Yarrowia lipolytica: one gene and its partner. The protein of the gene in region 1 binds, or shares a complex with, the protein of each later gene. Links are inferred from orthologs where the notes say so. Each region holds a gene or a part of one and is shown on either strand. Other genes may lie near its edges.

The links. The genes of interacting proteins can lie anywhere in the genome.
Region 2: the proteins of YALI1_D30618g (region 1) and YALI1_B13179g are in contact, whole or in part, in a cryo-EM structure (PDB 8OHS), measured with the Neurospora crassa proteins. The link is inferred for Yarrowia lipolytica from reciprocal best matches to the Saccharomyces cerevisiae genes LAT1 and PDX1. Residues at the interface, in XP_962786.1 of Neurospora crassa: Lys263, Lys266, Leu267, Gln269, Ala270, Pro453, Leu454; in XP_956161.2 of Neurospora crassa: Leu323, Gln326, Val327, Leu328, Lys332.

The regions. Positions count from the first base shown.
Region 1 is NC_090773.1:3,058,846-3,065,846, reverse strand, and holds YALI1_D30618g (uncharacterized protein), read right to left. Parts: upstream 4,058-7,001; coding exon 4,017-4,057; intron 3,034-4,016; coding exon 1,620-3,033; downstream 1-1,619. Other genes in the region: YALI1_D30653g (uncharacterized protein), read right to left, coding at 1-536; YALI1_D30593g (uncharacterized protein), read right to left, coding at 5,639-6,586. UniProt on the Saccharomyces cerevisiae protein: The pyruvate dehydrogenase complex catalyzes the overall conversion of pyruvate to acetyl-CoA and CO(2).
Region 2 is NC_090771.1:1,316,102-1,320,585, forward strand, and holds YALI1_B13179g (uncharacterized protein), read right to left. Parts: upstream 1,852-4,484; coding exon 556-1,851; downstream 1-555. Other genes in the region: YALI1_B13150g (uncharacterized protein), read left to right, coding at 1-188. UniProt on the Saccharomyces cerevisiae protein: Required for anchoring dihydrolipoamide dehydrogenase (E3) to the dihydrolipoamide transacetylase (E2) core of the pyruvate dehydrogenase complexes of eukaryotes. This specific binding is essential for a functional PDH complex.

The sequences.
Region 1 (7,001 bases):
AGCGACCGGAGACAGTGGGGGTAGCCCAGCTGGTAGAACTGCACCGACGATCCGAACGACAAGAGACCCACAATGCAGTGTTCAGGGAGCTGATCAATGACCTGGGTCAGCGAATCTTTGAGCGATTCGAGTTCCTCGGGCTCGGCGTTGGTATCGAGCACAAACAGGAACGCCGGAGGAGTTGCTGCGGTGCGAGCAGTGTTGTACTCCACGGTCGAGTTGGCCGGATCACATGCAGGGGGAAGTTGACCCGCCACCGAGCTCATGAGCCGGTTTCGAGACATGCACAACCGGCAGGTCCACGTCTGGCTGGCCAGGTCCACATGACAGTAGGGATTGAGGATCGAACCACAATCCTTGTTGCCACAGATGGCAATGGTGTCTTGCACCACCGGCACCGTCTGGGCCTTGTGTCGAGGGTTGTACACGCACGAAATGGGCAGCACGACATCTTTGGCGTCACGTGACGTCGACGGGAACACGTTCCAGTTGAACCGCACGCCGTCCTGTTCCTCGAATTGTTCGAATAGTTCCATGGTGGTGACGTGTTGGCGTAATAGTTGTAGCTACTGTAGCCTCGAACCAAAGTTTATCATGGCGCACACTAGACACGGTGGACTTTGCATGAACGTGATTGGGGTGTGCGAAGATGGGCAGAGAAATCGGAAAAAAACACGTGAGTCAACAGAGTGATTTATAGACACTTTTAGCGGTTTTTTCCATTTTTCTAAATTGCAATTTCCTGCTTTGATGGACTTCCCCACACTAACATGACACCATACAAGCACACCTGCACCCAAAATATTTCGCGTGAACAGTGCATGTGAGATGGGAGGTGGTCTTGGAAGGGATGGTTCCACTTTGTAAAACACGAGAGAATGAATGTGGACATGTATTGGAGATCAGAATGACCGCACTGAGCTCCAGTATCGATTGGTGTGCTTGTCTTCCCGACAGAGTAACCACACCATCAGATGTAGCAGGAAATATGAGCTGACTCATGGAACCAAATTTTATGGCTGTTTACCACCAGTACATTATGTACACGTGAGTATACATGGTAATGTCTCAAATACAGATGTTGGTGGATTATTTGTAGCATGCCAATTATACCTGTAACTCCACATTGATGGAGCTTTCAACTGAACCGGCAAAGAGGATGATTGAGCGTGATTGGCGTGAAAACTGGCACGATTTCCCATGCTCTAGACGGTACTGTATGTCATTAAGAAGGTCCAATTACTTGAAGATTACTTGAAAGAAAGGTAACCTGGGAGTTAGAAAAGGTGCCCCAAGAAGGTCGGAAGAAAGAAAATACTGATAAAGTAAAGAGCAGAGAATTCTCATTCAATCCCATAAGCTTGAAAACACTTGGGCGACAGGAAATGTCCTTTTCTATGAGCTTTTAAAATTTTTATATTCTCAAAATGACTTGGATTTTGTTTTGACTTTAGACCTAACTATGAAACAACTCAAATCGAAGGCAATGGATTACAGGGCCGGGAATGTCGATATCAGTTTGCCAATACAGTCGTACTACTGACTGGTTTAAACGGTCACACTAGCGACTACTTCTCGCACAGAGTTCACATTCTGCTAATTACAATCTATTAATCATCCTACAACAACATCTCAATGGGGTTTTCAACCACCTGCTTGAGAGCCTTGACCCACTCGCCTCCAACAGCTCCATCGACGACTCGGTGGTCGAAAGAGGTGGTCAGAGTAACAACGTCGTCAAAGACAAAGCCGGCCTCGGAGTCAACGTCCTCAATGGCCTTTCGCTCGGTGGTGCCGACAGCGAGAATGGCGGCCTGGGGAGGGTTGATGATGGCAGTGAAGAAGGACACGGCGTGGTTCATGCCCAGGTTGGAAATGGTCACGGTACCGCCCTGGTACTCTTCGGGAGCCAGCTTGCCGTCCTTGGCCTTCTTGCCCAGAGCCTTAATCTCCTTGGAGATTTCCGCCAGACCCTTGAGGTTGGCGTTCTTGACCACAGGGGTGATCAGACCAGTGGGGGTGGCAACGGCGACAGAAACGTCCACGTTGGTGAACTGTCGAATAACACCCTCAGACTCGAGCCACTGGGAGTTGACCTGGGGGACCTTGGTGTTGGCCACGGCCAGGGCCTTGACAAGCAGATCGTTGATGGACAGCTTGTAGGTACCATCGGAGGAGGCGTTGAGAGCAGCTCGCAGCTTGAGCAGCTTGGACACAGACACGGTGGAAGACACAATGTAGTCGGGAGATGTGTTCTTGGACTGGGTCAGTCGAGAAGCAATTGTCTTTCGCATGTTGGTGAGAGGAATGTCGGTGTAAGCAGATCCAGCAGCAGCGGCAGCAGCAGGGGCAGCGCCCTTGGCAGGGGCAGCCTTGGCGGCGGGAGCGGCGGGAGGGGTCCAGTTCTCGACGTCTCGCTTGATGATTCGACCACCGGGACCGGAGCCCTTGATCTCGCTAAGCTTGATGCCCTTCTCCAGAGCAATGGTCTTGGCCATGGGAGAAGCAAAGATTCGAGAAGAGGGGGGAGTGGGGGCAGCAGGGGCAGAGGACTGAGAAGAGGGGGCGGGAGAAGCAGTCTCCTTGGAAGCCTCGGCCTCCTTCTCGGCCTTCTCGGCCTTCTCGGCCTCGTATTCCTCCTCTTCCTTCTGCTCCTCGGTCTTGGGAGGCTTGGGGACTCCTCCGGCGTCGTCAATGGTGAAGTCCTTGAAGGCAGCCACGTCGGCCTCGTCCTCGACGTAGACACCAATGGGGGTGCCAACGGCAATGTCCTTGGCTCCGGCGTCGAGCAGAATCTTGGCCAGGTAGCCATCATCCTGGAACTCAAAGTCCATCTGGGCCTTGTCAGTCTCAATCTCGACGAGAACCTCGCCGGGAGCAAGAGCGTCGCCGACAGACTTTTGCCAGGCGCCAATGTTACCCTGGGTCATGGTAGGGGACAGGGCGGGCATGTCGATGACTGTGTGGCTAGGCCAGGACTTGGCGGCGTAGCATCGGGTGAGGGTGGGGAGAGAGAAGGAAGAGAATGTTGGTCTGGGTTAGCGCTGGAGCGAAAGGATTGAGCAAACACAAACAAGTGACTGAACGTGCCGGTGGACCAGGTAGCCACCGGCGGATTCCAAAAGTGTACAACAGTGCTCTGTTTGAGGGAGCCACACAAATAGCAATTGCGTAACTGACTCGAGGCGACAACATCACTATCAACACGACCATTCCATGGACTTTGTACTTGTGTTGCCTTGAGCTGGGTTGCCTAACTGCTGTCCTCTGTAGGTGTGGGATGTGCAGGTGTGATACAACGAATTTTTGGGTGGGAAGCGACAATGTCGTTCACGGCGGATCTCAGAGGTGCAAGTGACGCTTTGATAGAGTAACCAGTGCGTGGGTAACTGTTGCTGGGTGTAGCTTGCAAATGATAAATGATTGTATGGTGGCAATAACAAAGAACACCACCGAGCTCGGCCATGGAATTTAGTTGTCAAACTCGACAATCGGACTTTGCGGTATACTTTCTTGAATCATCACGTTATTCCCCTCACCCGTTCCGGGTCAATTGCATCTGTGATCATTGTGGCTGTTGGAGTGTTGAGGCACCACCGGAGTTAAGCACAGCAATGAGAAAATGACATGGAGACACACCTATCAAAAGGAGTCATCGGGGGAACAGACAAGAGGATTCGTTGAAAGGCTCTTATCGTTGGCGTCTCCTCGTTTTTCACGCTTCTCCGATGATGATCGGTGCATGTCCGTACTACCAGTACTGGTGACGAGGCAAGGGCGAGTCCATGGAGCCCGCTCATCTGACCAGCCTGGTTTAGCAGTTGTGCGGACCATTCTATCACTGCCACGCCACTGTAAACACAAACACAATCACAAGCACCCTCCCACCACACCACACAAAACACACGACAGTCGGTTTCGCATCACCATTGCACTGGTCTTGGAGGACGTCAGCAACCCATTGTCGGGGTCCGCTCGCTACTCCATCCGTGCCTCTGGCTCTTCACCATACTCACCTCACTCGAACCAATCGAGTTGCAAGAAATCGGGCAGACATGTTTTCTCAAGAGTCGTTGCGTGGCGTTGCGTTGAAGTGAGAATCAGACGTGGGATAATCCGAGATGAGCGAAATAATGTTGGGTTCGCCGTAGCTCCTCCAAAGTCCCAACACACGGAGCACTCTCCGCACCGGAAAAAGTTTGCATATTTCGGATAAACTAGTGCAGCAACCGCGACGAGTGGACATAAATCTGCGACCGGCAGAAGAGATGAGTGGTCATCAGACCTTGGACGGGGTCAATTCCACTACAACCCGTCTTTTGGCATCCCTATTCGCCCCGCAGACCCGCCCAATGTCACCCCAGACAGCCTCCTAACAAAGCCCCCAAAGCCCACTAGCTCCAAACCTTAATTCCATGGTCGAGGATTTTTTTGACAAACCAAAAATTAACCACCTTTTTTTTTAAGCCTTCAGTGGGGGGTAGGTAGGAGTGGAAGTGGGAGTGGGGGGTTACCAGTAGACGTAGAACCGGCATGTTCCGAGAGAGAGAAAGAGCGAGTCACGTGCCGCACCAACTGTGGCCGGGGGCGTATTGGTTTAGTTCGTGTGACAAAACTCAACTACGGCTGAGTACAGTATGTACTCTGGTACCGCACATACATACAGTACATACGTCTACGTACAAGGAGAAAGTGCATGTTGAACAAAGCAGCTGACAAGTGGGTGGGTTGCAGGCAGGAGATGCTGGTATTATTGCGGTAGGCCGACACGGACCGATTTCGTTGCTGCTGATGTGAGGCAGTCGATTTGGGAGTGAAGCACTTTTGGTGAAGCGCCTCGGGGTTTGAAAGTAAGCGATTTGGGACAGTGATTTTGACCCAATCATAGCAAGACGTCCAGGATTGGTTGAGTGTTGGGCCGTTGACGTGGAGGGATGAGAGGATGGATGTGACCAAGTGAATCTGATACAAAACTGGGAGAGAACTGGGAGAGAACTGGAACATGTGCAGATTATGTGGGAAAGAGAACGGGAAGGTGGGGGATGTTATGGTCCATAGCGAGGCAGGGTGAGAAAGGGAATAAGAGGCGCAAAATTGGATGATATAGGTGGAAAAAGTACATTTCTGAAACCAGCAGAACCAGGACTATCCATTGCTACCGCCAAACATGCAATTGAATTCCATGATCCAGAGTATGTACTTGTAGATGCCATACACAGAGTGAAATCCAGTTGAAATTGCAGCACATTACAACCAGCAGTCAAAAGAGCATCCGGAACGACGAAATGACATTCCACAGAAATGAGAGTAGCCCCGATCTTTCTACTGTTGGTTTTTGCTGCGACCCATGTAGGGACAGTAGCAGCTACAATTGACAAACACATCTCCAGGTCATTTCACACACTACAATTACAGGCTTTCCTTTCTTCTTCTATGATGCCGGTACAGTATCTGATGATTGATTCTCGATAATTTATCGTCTTGAAAGATATGCAGCAGTTCACATTGTGTTCTTGGACGGCAGTCCAGTAATGCTGGTTGGTGAGACCTCAGAACGGGCCTCTTGCATTGAAGCGAGTACCCGTTCATGCCTTTGAGTCTGCTGGGTTCGGACAGTCTGCTTCGTTTCATCCGAACATTAAAAGACATCGCTTCCGACACTCATTCCATACCACTCACTACTCACCACCAGCTTACTCTTTGTCTTGTCTTTTGCAGCAGCTCGAAAGTACGCCTCTACGCTCTTTGAGTCTCTCTTGAGATCATCGGCCCAAACACATTCCACACCTCCCTTTTCTTCCTTCTCTACCAGATCCTTGGCTGTCTGCCAGGAGAACCGCACCACAGGCATCCATCCAAACACCTGGTCCACGTGACTCTTGAGCCAGACAGACGTTTTGGGGTCAGATGGGTACCCCGAGCCCCATGTGCCCTCACTGAGATCTTGCGACTTGAGATCCATGTCACGGGTCACTTTGGCACAAATGGAGGCCGCAGAAACAATGGGGAACAGCGAGTCGGCCTTCTTGGTGACAGTGAACTTGATGTGGGGGAACTGCTTGCTCAGCTTGGCCGTGTAACTGGCGGGGGGTCCCACTGTATCAATGTACGCCTCTGTCAGAAGAACACCTCGATCCAGCACACCCTGGATCAAAGCCATAGTTGTATCGTGTGCCTGGTCGTTCAGGTTGTACACACCACGAGACATGGGTCGCAACATGGCCGACGAAATGTCCTGAGCAGTCATAGACGTAGTGCACCACCCCAGATGCTCAACCAGAGTCTCATCACAGCAGATTTCGCGCATCAGAGCGCTTCGTTTTTCGGCCGTCAAAGTCTTGGAGTCGGCGAACCCCGTTTTCGATAGCTCCTCGTCGGCAAACTCCTTGGTACAGTAGGCAAGGCCGTAGACCATGGATCCCAGTACCGGTCCTCGTCCGGCTTCATCAACTCCAAGAATGCACGGTTTATGGGGGTCACGTGAAACACCATGAGGAACGTTACTGTAGTGCGTGTGAGTTGTGTGAGTTTTCTTTTGGGGCACAGAAGGCGGCATAAACTCTTCAAATGGCGTGTCGACAGTCATTGTGGTGGTGGTAGTGGTTAAATTGTTTACGCGTAATGGCGTTCTTTATTTTATTTAACGCGTCGGGAGTGCGTCAGAGAGGTGAGGGAGGAACTTACTGAGAAGAAAGGATGGAGATATGGAACCGGAAAATAGATGGCTGAATAAGGGAGGAAATGGGCAGTTGTATCTTTTTTCGATTTCTCAACTTTGGAAAAGTTTTGATGTTTTTCAACATGTTTTTTTCTTAACCAAAGTTTCCTAAGTAACTGTTCAACTAAATCGACAACTAAATCGGGTCATTTGGAGCACACAAAATCGTGGATCGTGGAAATGAAAACTCCGTGCATGTTTGCCTGTGGGACACATAGTACTGTAGAACCCGTTCACCTACAAGTAGTTACCATTATTCGACTATCAAAAGTTAACAATACCA
Region 2 (4,484 bases), on another chromosome or scaffold:
ATATCAACGAGTACAAGCGCGGCTTTGAGCGCGACTTCAACACCCTCAAGGCTAACACCGTCGGGCTTGTGGAGGACATTAAGGAGAAGCGAAAGGAGGACAAAAAGAAGGCGCTTGAAGAGCCCCAGACAAAGTTGACCTGGCAACAGAAGCATAAGCAGAAGTTGAAGAACAAGAAGAAGCAATAATCTTGTTGTGTATATAGTAACTGATTAACCGAAGAGCACGAGGGGAGCGAAGATCATGAGGCGTAGCAAATCATCCTTACCCAACGCACTTGTAGCACGAGCTAAGGGAATGCTCTGTAAAATTGAAAACGAATACCCTTACTACGAATGTATCATGTAAGAACAATACTACATACATACTGTACATATGTAGTTGACCTGAATTACTGAGTTACAGTCATACCATCAAGGAACGCTACAATAAGAGCACCCCTTAGCAAATGCTCTTCACCACCATTCACATGTTTACCCTACCTATATATATCCTTCGTTATACTGTATAGCACACTCTATGTGCTGTATCATCTTATGCTCGACATTGTCTCTCCTACTCCTCCACAGTCAAATGATACTCCAGTCTGTTCAAGAAAAGCTTGGCTCGCTTCTCGGCACCGGGGACCTTGTCGTTGACTGTTACATCGACCTGCACAGTGTTGGAAGGCACCTGGACAGCAGCCTTTCGGGGCTTTCGGTCCGACAGAATGTCATACAGGTCGGCCCCATTGGAGAGAGCCCGCTTTGTGGACTTGGGGTAGATGACGTTCACGTCGTAGAACTTGGTGCCCTTGGCGGGGCCGATGATAGCCTCAAAGTCGGGGTCCACGTTGGCGGATCGGCGGGGCTTTGCGAGCTCCACGGCGTCGTATTTGGCCAGCTTGATGGCCTGCTTGACGATTCGCTGCAGCTCGAGCTGGTCCTCGGGCTCAAAGTGGGCCACATCGAGGAACGAGGTGAAGATGACAGGCTCGGGAGCAGCCTTGGTAGCAGGAGCAGCAGCATCTCCAGCCTTGGCAGCCCCAGTGGGAGCAGCAGCATCGCTCTTCTTGGCGGGCTTGATGTTGGACAAGTCGAGATGGGATCGCTTGTTAATCTCGTCGGCAACAGCGCCAGGAGAGCCCTCAGGGACCTTTCCGAGGTAGGCGAGAATGTCGCCCTTGAGAAGCCGGCCGTGGGGACCGGTGGCCTTGATCTTGGCAAAGGCGTCCTCCTTGGAGATGCCATTGGCCACAAGAAGCGAGGACACCGAAGGGAGAAGGGTCTGTGCGGGGTTAGCGGGGGCAGAGTAGCCGGATGATGAGGGAGCAGAAGACGATTCGGTCTTGGGAGCCTCCTTGGGGGTAGAAGGAGCCTTAGGGGCAGGGGCCTTAGCCTCCTCCTTAGGGGCCTCCTTGACCTCCTCCTTGGCCTCCTCCTTGGGAGCAGGCTTGCCGTCCGACTCGACAGGAGCAGGAATATCAATGGTTTTGATGTCATCTCCGGGCTCAGCAATCACAGCAATGGTGTCTCCGACCTGAATGTCCTTGTCACCGTCCTTCTTGTAGATCTTGGCCATGACTCCATCGTCAGCAGCCTCGACGTCGATCTGGGCCTTGTCGGTTTCGATCTCAAGGATGACATCACCAGCTGAAAACTCGTCGCCCTCCTTGACCTTCCACGACACAATGCCTCCCTCGGTCATGGTGGGACTCATGGCTGGCATGGCAAAGTTGCTGGCCTGATAGAGGCGAGGGGTGGTGTGGAGCACTGGGTTAGTAAAATGACGGCTGTGGGTCCGATCGGACAACAACGGAACCAATACACGGAAACGACTAGCCGCAGCTAGGTCAGGAAAGGATAATAGCATGTGTAAACCTCACAGTTTAACACACAGCAAAGTCCCGGTTCAGCGTCTCAGATATGATTAAATGCCGAAATTCAAGAGCCAGAAGAAAAAACCGAAGAGAGCAGAGTAATGTCACTTGTACCACTCAATTGCAAGTATTTCACAAGAGGACAGAAGTGGAATGGGTGTAATTTGTTCCATATTAGTGGAAGTCATCAGGGGTGGATCAGAGATCAGATCGGAGAGTGACGACATCGAGAAACACGGAACCTGTGCAACGGTCGATATTCACTGGCACAAAATGTCAACCCTCAAATCACCCTCATAATAACACCATCTGTATCAACCATCATAGATGTCTCAATGTAGACTCAACCCGTCAGATATTGAATGTGGATACCCATAACCCCAAGAAGATGCACTTGCCGACAAGAGAATCAAAAATCACCACAACAAACCAAACCGATCAATCAACCTCATCTAACGCACTCCCTTTTCTCTTGTCCTCACCCATCTCCATTCTGCATTGCTGATCTCCTTCAGTGTCCAATATCTGCGTACTGTATGCAACGAATAGCAACAAATGGCAACAGTGTAGTAGAGAAACGAAAGCTGTTGGAAACGAGACGGCCTGCTCGCAATCACACGGCCACGTGAACCACAATCTACTCTGTATCTCCGTCTCCTCCTTCTGTGTCTCCTTCTTCGACTCCCGCCCAGCATCACACATGTCACTAATAATGCACTCAAGGGGAGCAATTGAACGGCAGTCACGATGTGGAAAACATCCATCTGTATGTGACTCGTCGCTGCCAGCAATACTCACGTCGGGCCCGGGGAATAACTCTCAACAGTCGGTTCATTGTGTGCCTCAAAGGTGTCGTTATTACGTTCGGACAACTGACGTTGGTCTCGACATTCTGTTGGGACGGAAAAACAACGCACCCTAACCCTCGACTAATTTTCCGGTCTAGCATCTTGTTGGGAGTGGGGGTCGAAAGAGATTTATTTGATGATTTATTATAAAAAAAATTAAAAAAATGAGACTTGAAGAATTGAAGAAATTAGCAAGCTGGACCACCGATCAAAGGAGAAGATCAAGTATGATAGAACAGACTTAACAAAGAAGCTGTGGACCAATGAGTAGCTACAAGGTTCTTCCACTGTTACTGGTGCATGCTGTGTGACATCTACATGCGTGTGACAACTGCTCAATATGAAAAAATAAAAATTTGAAAAGTTTTGAAAAAAAAAAAAAAAAAAAAAAAAAAAAAAAGAAAAACTTGCGGCAGAATAACGACGATTTTGCCGCTAAAGAGTTGCTTGGAAAGATCAGGCTTGTTGAATCAACTCACCAAATCGGCCTATGTAGCCTGGAATTGATTCACACTTGTGGGACTTCCCGACATACGTACTGGTAGTATGTCTATGTATAGCCCCTGAGAAACGACAGCGCTTGTCTCTGACACTTTTATTTCGAAAATTCGAGGTAAATGATACAAGAAACCAATTCGAAATCGCAAGCTGATTAAATGATACTATTATGTCTACCCTTGCTACTGCCGAATGCCTCAAGATGTGGACTTTGGGTCGGTCCTTAGTGTGAGCATCATATATAACACTATATTCACTGTTTATCGGACTAATACAAGCACTGGCAGTACAAACTGAGAATCATTGCCCAATTTTTCTCCTCAAGTATCCCTCCCATATCAATAACGAGGACTACAAGTATTCCTGATCTTCACTTCCCTATCCAACATTGCTGAAGTTTGACACTCCACTTGAGTGACCGCAAAAACTCATTGTAGTCCTGAATACTATTTAATACAACTTGATATCGTATTATCTACCAAATCGAGAACCCCCCATCTCAATGCGAGCTCCACAACAATCACACGAAGGACATCTACTTGTAGCTCAAATCGACACAAGCACAATTAACGACAACACTCTCTGTAGTACTCTATCCAGAAGTTCAGCTTTGGAATATACCATTATAATTAGAGCCAGGTCACCCAATTGTCTTACATTTCCTTTGGCATACCTTCCTACTGGATCCCTGAGGGCAGATTCTCGTATTGTCCAGTGTCCTACAAGATGATGGAAGGGCCATGAAGAACATTTTTCTCAAAGGGGAACTCGAAAAACTTCTGGAATCGAATATGATTGGATCCCTCGAGATGACTACTTTTCCCCTGCCTTTATTCTACGAGTTTGACAAGAAAGTGAGAGTGACTGCCAGCCTTCCAAACAAAGGAAGCGTATATTGGAACCCGGTGGCTAATACGAACATTGTGGCTTCACCAAAACGAATTATGATAGACAGTTATTGAAGGCTGTGATCTTTTATTCCATATTTGACACTCTGCTTGTACTTGTACTTGTTCAAGTTGCTTCCCCAAGTTAAGAGTGCTACTTTAGGATCATATACCCTTCTCAGAGTTGAAAAACTCCGCGGAATTCTTCAGGGGGGAGATTTTAACCGTATAGACATTGAAATGCGGGTATTTGTACTTGTTTTATTGTGCCAGATTTGGCCTTTTTCTAGTACAAGTACTTGTACTCGCACAAGAGATCTGATACTCCGCTTACCTTTCAAGTACACACTCACGGATCTCCGAAAATACTGTCTCAATTACACCTGCAAGCCC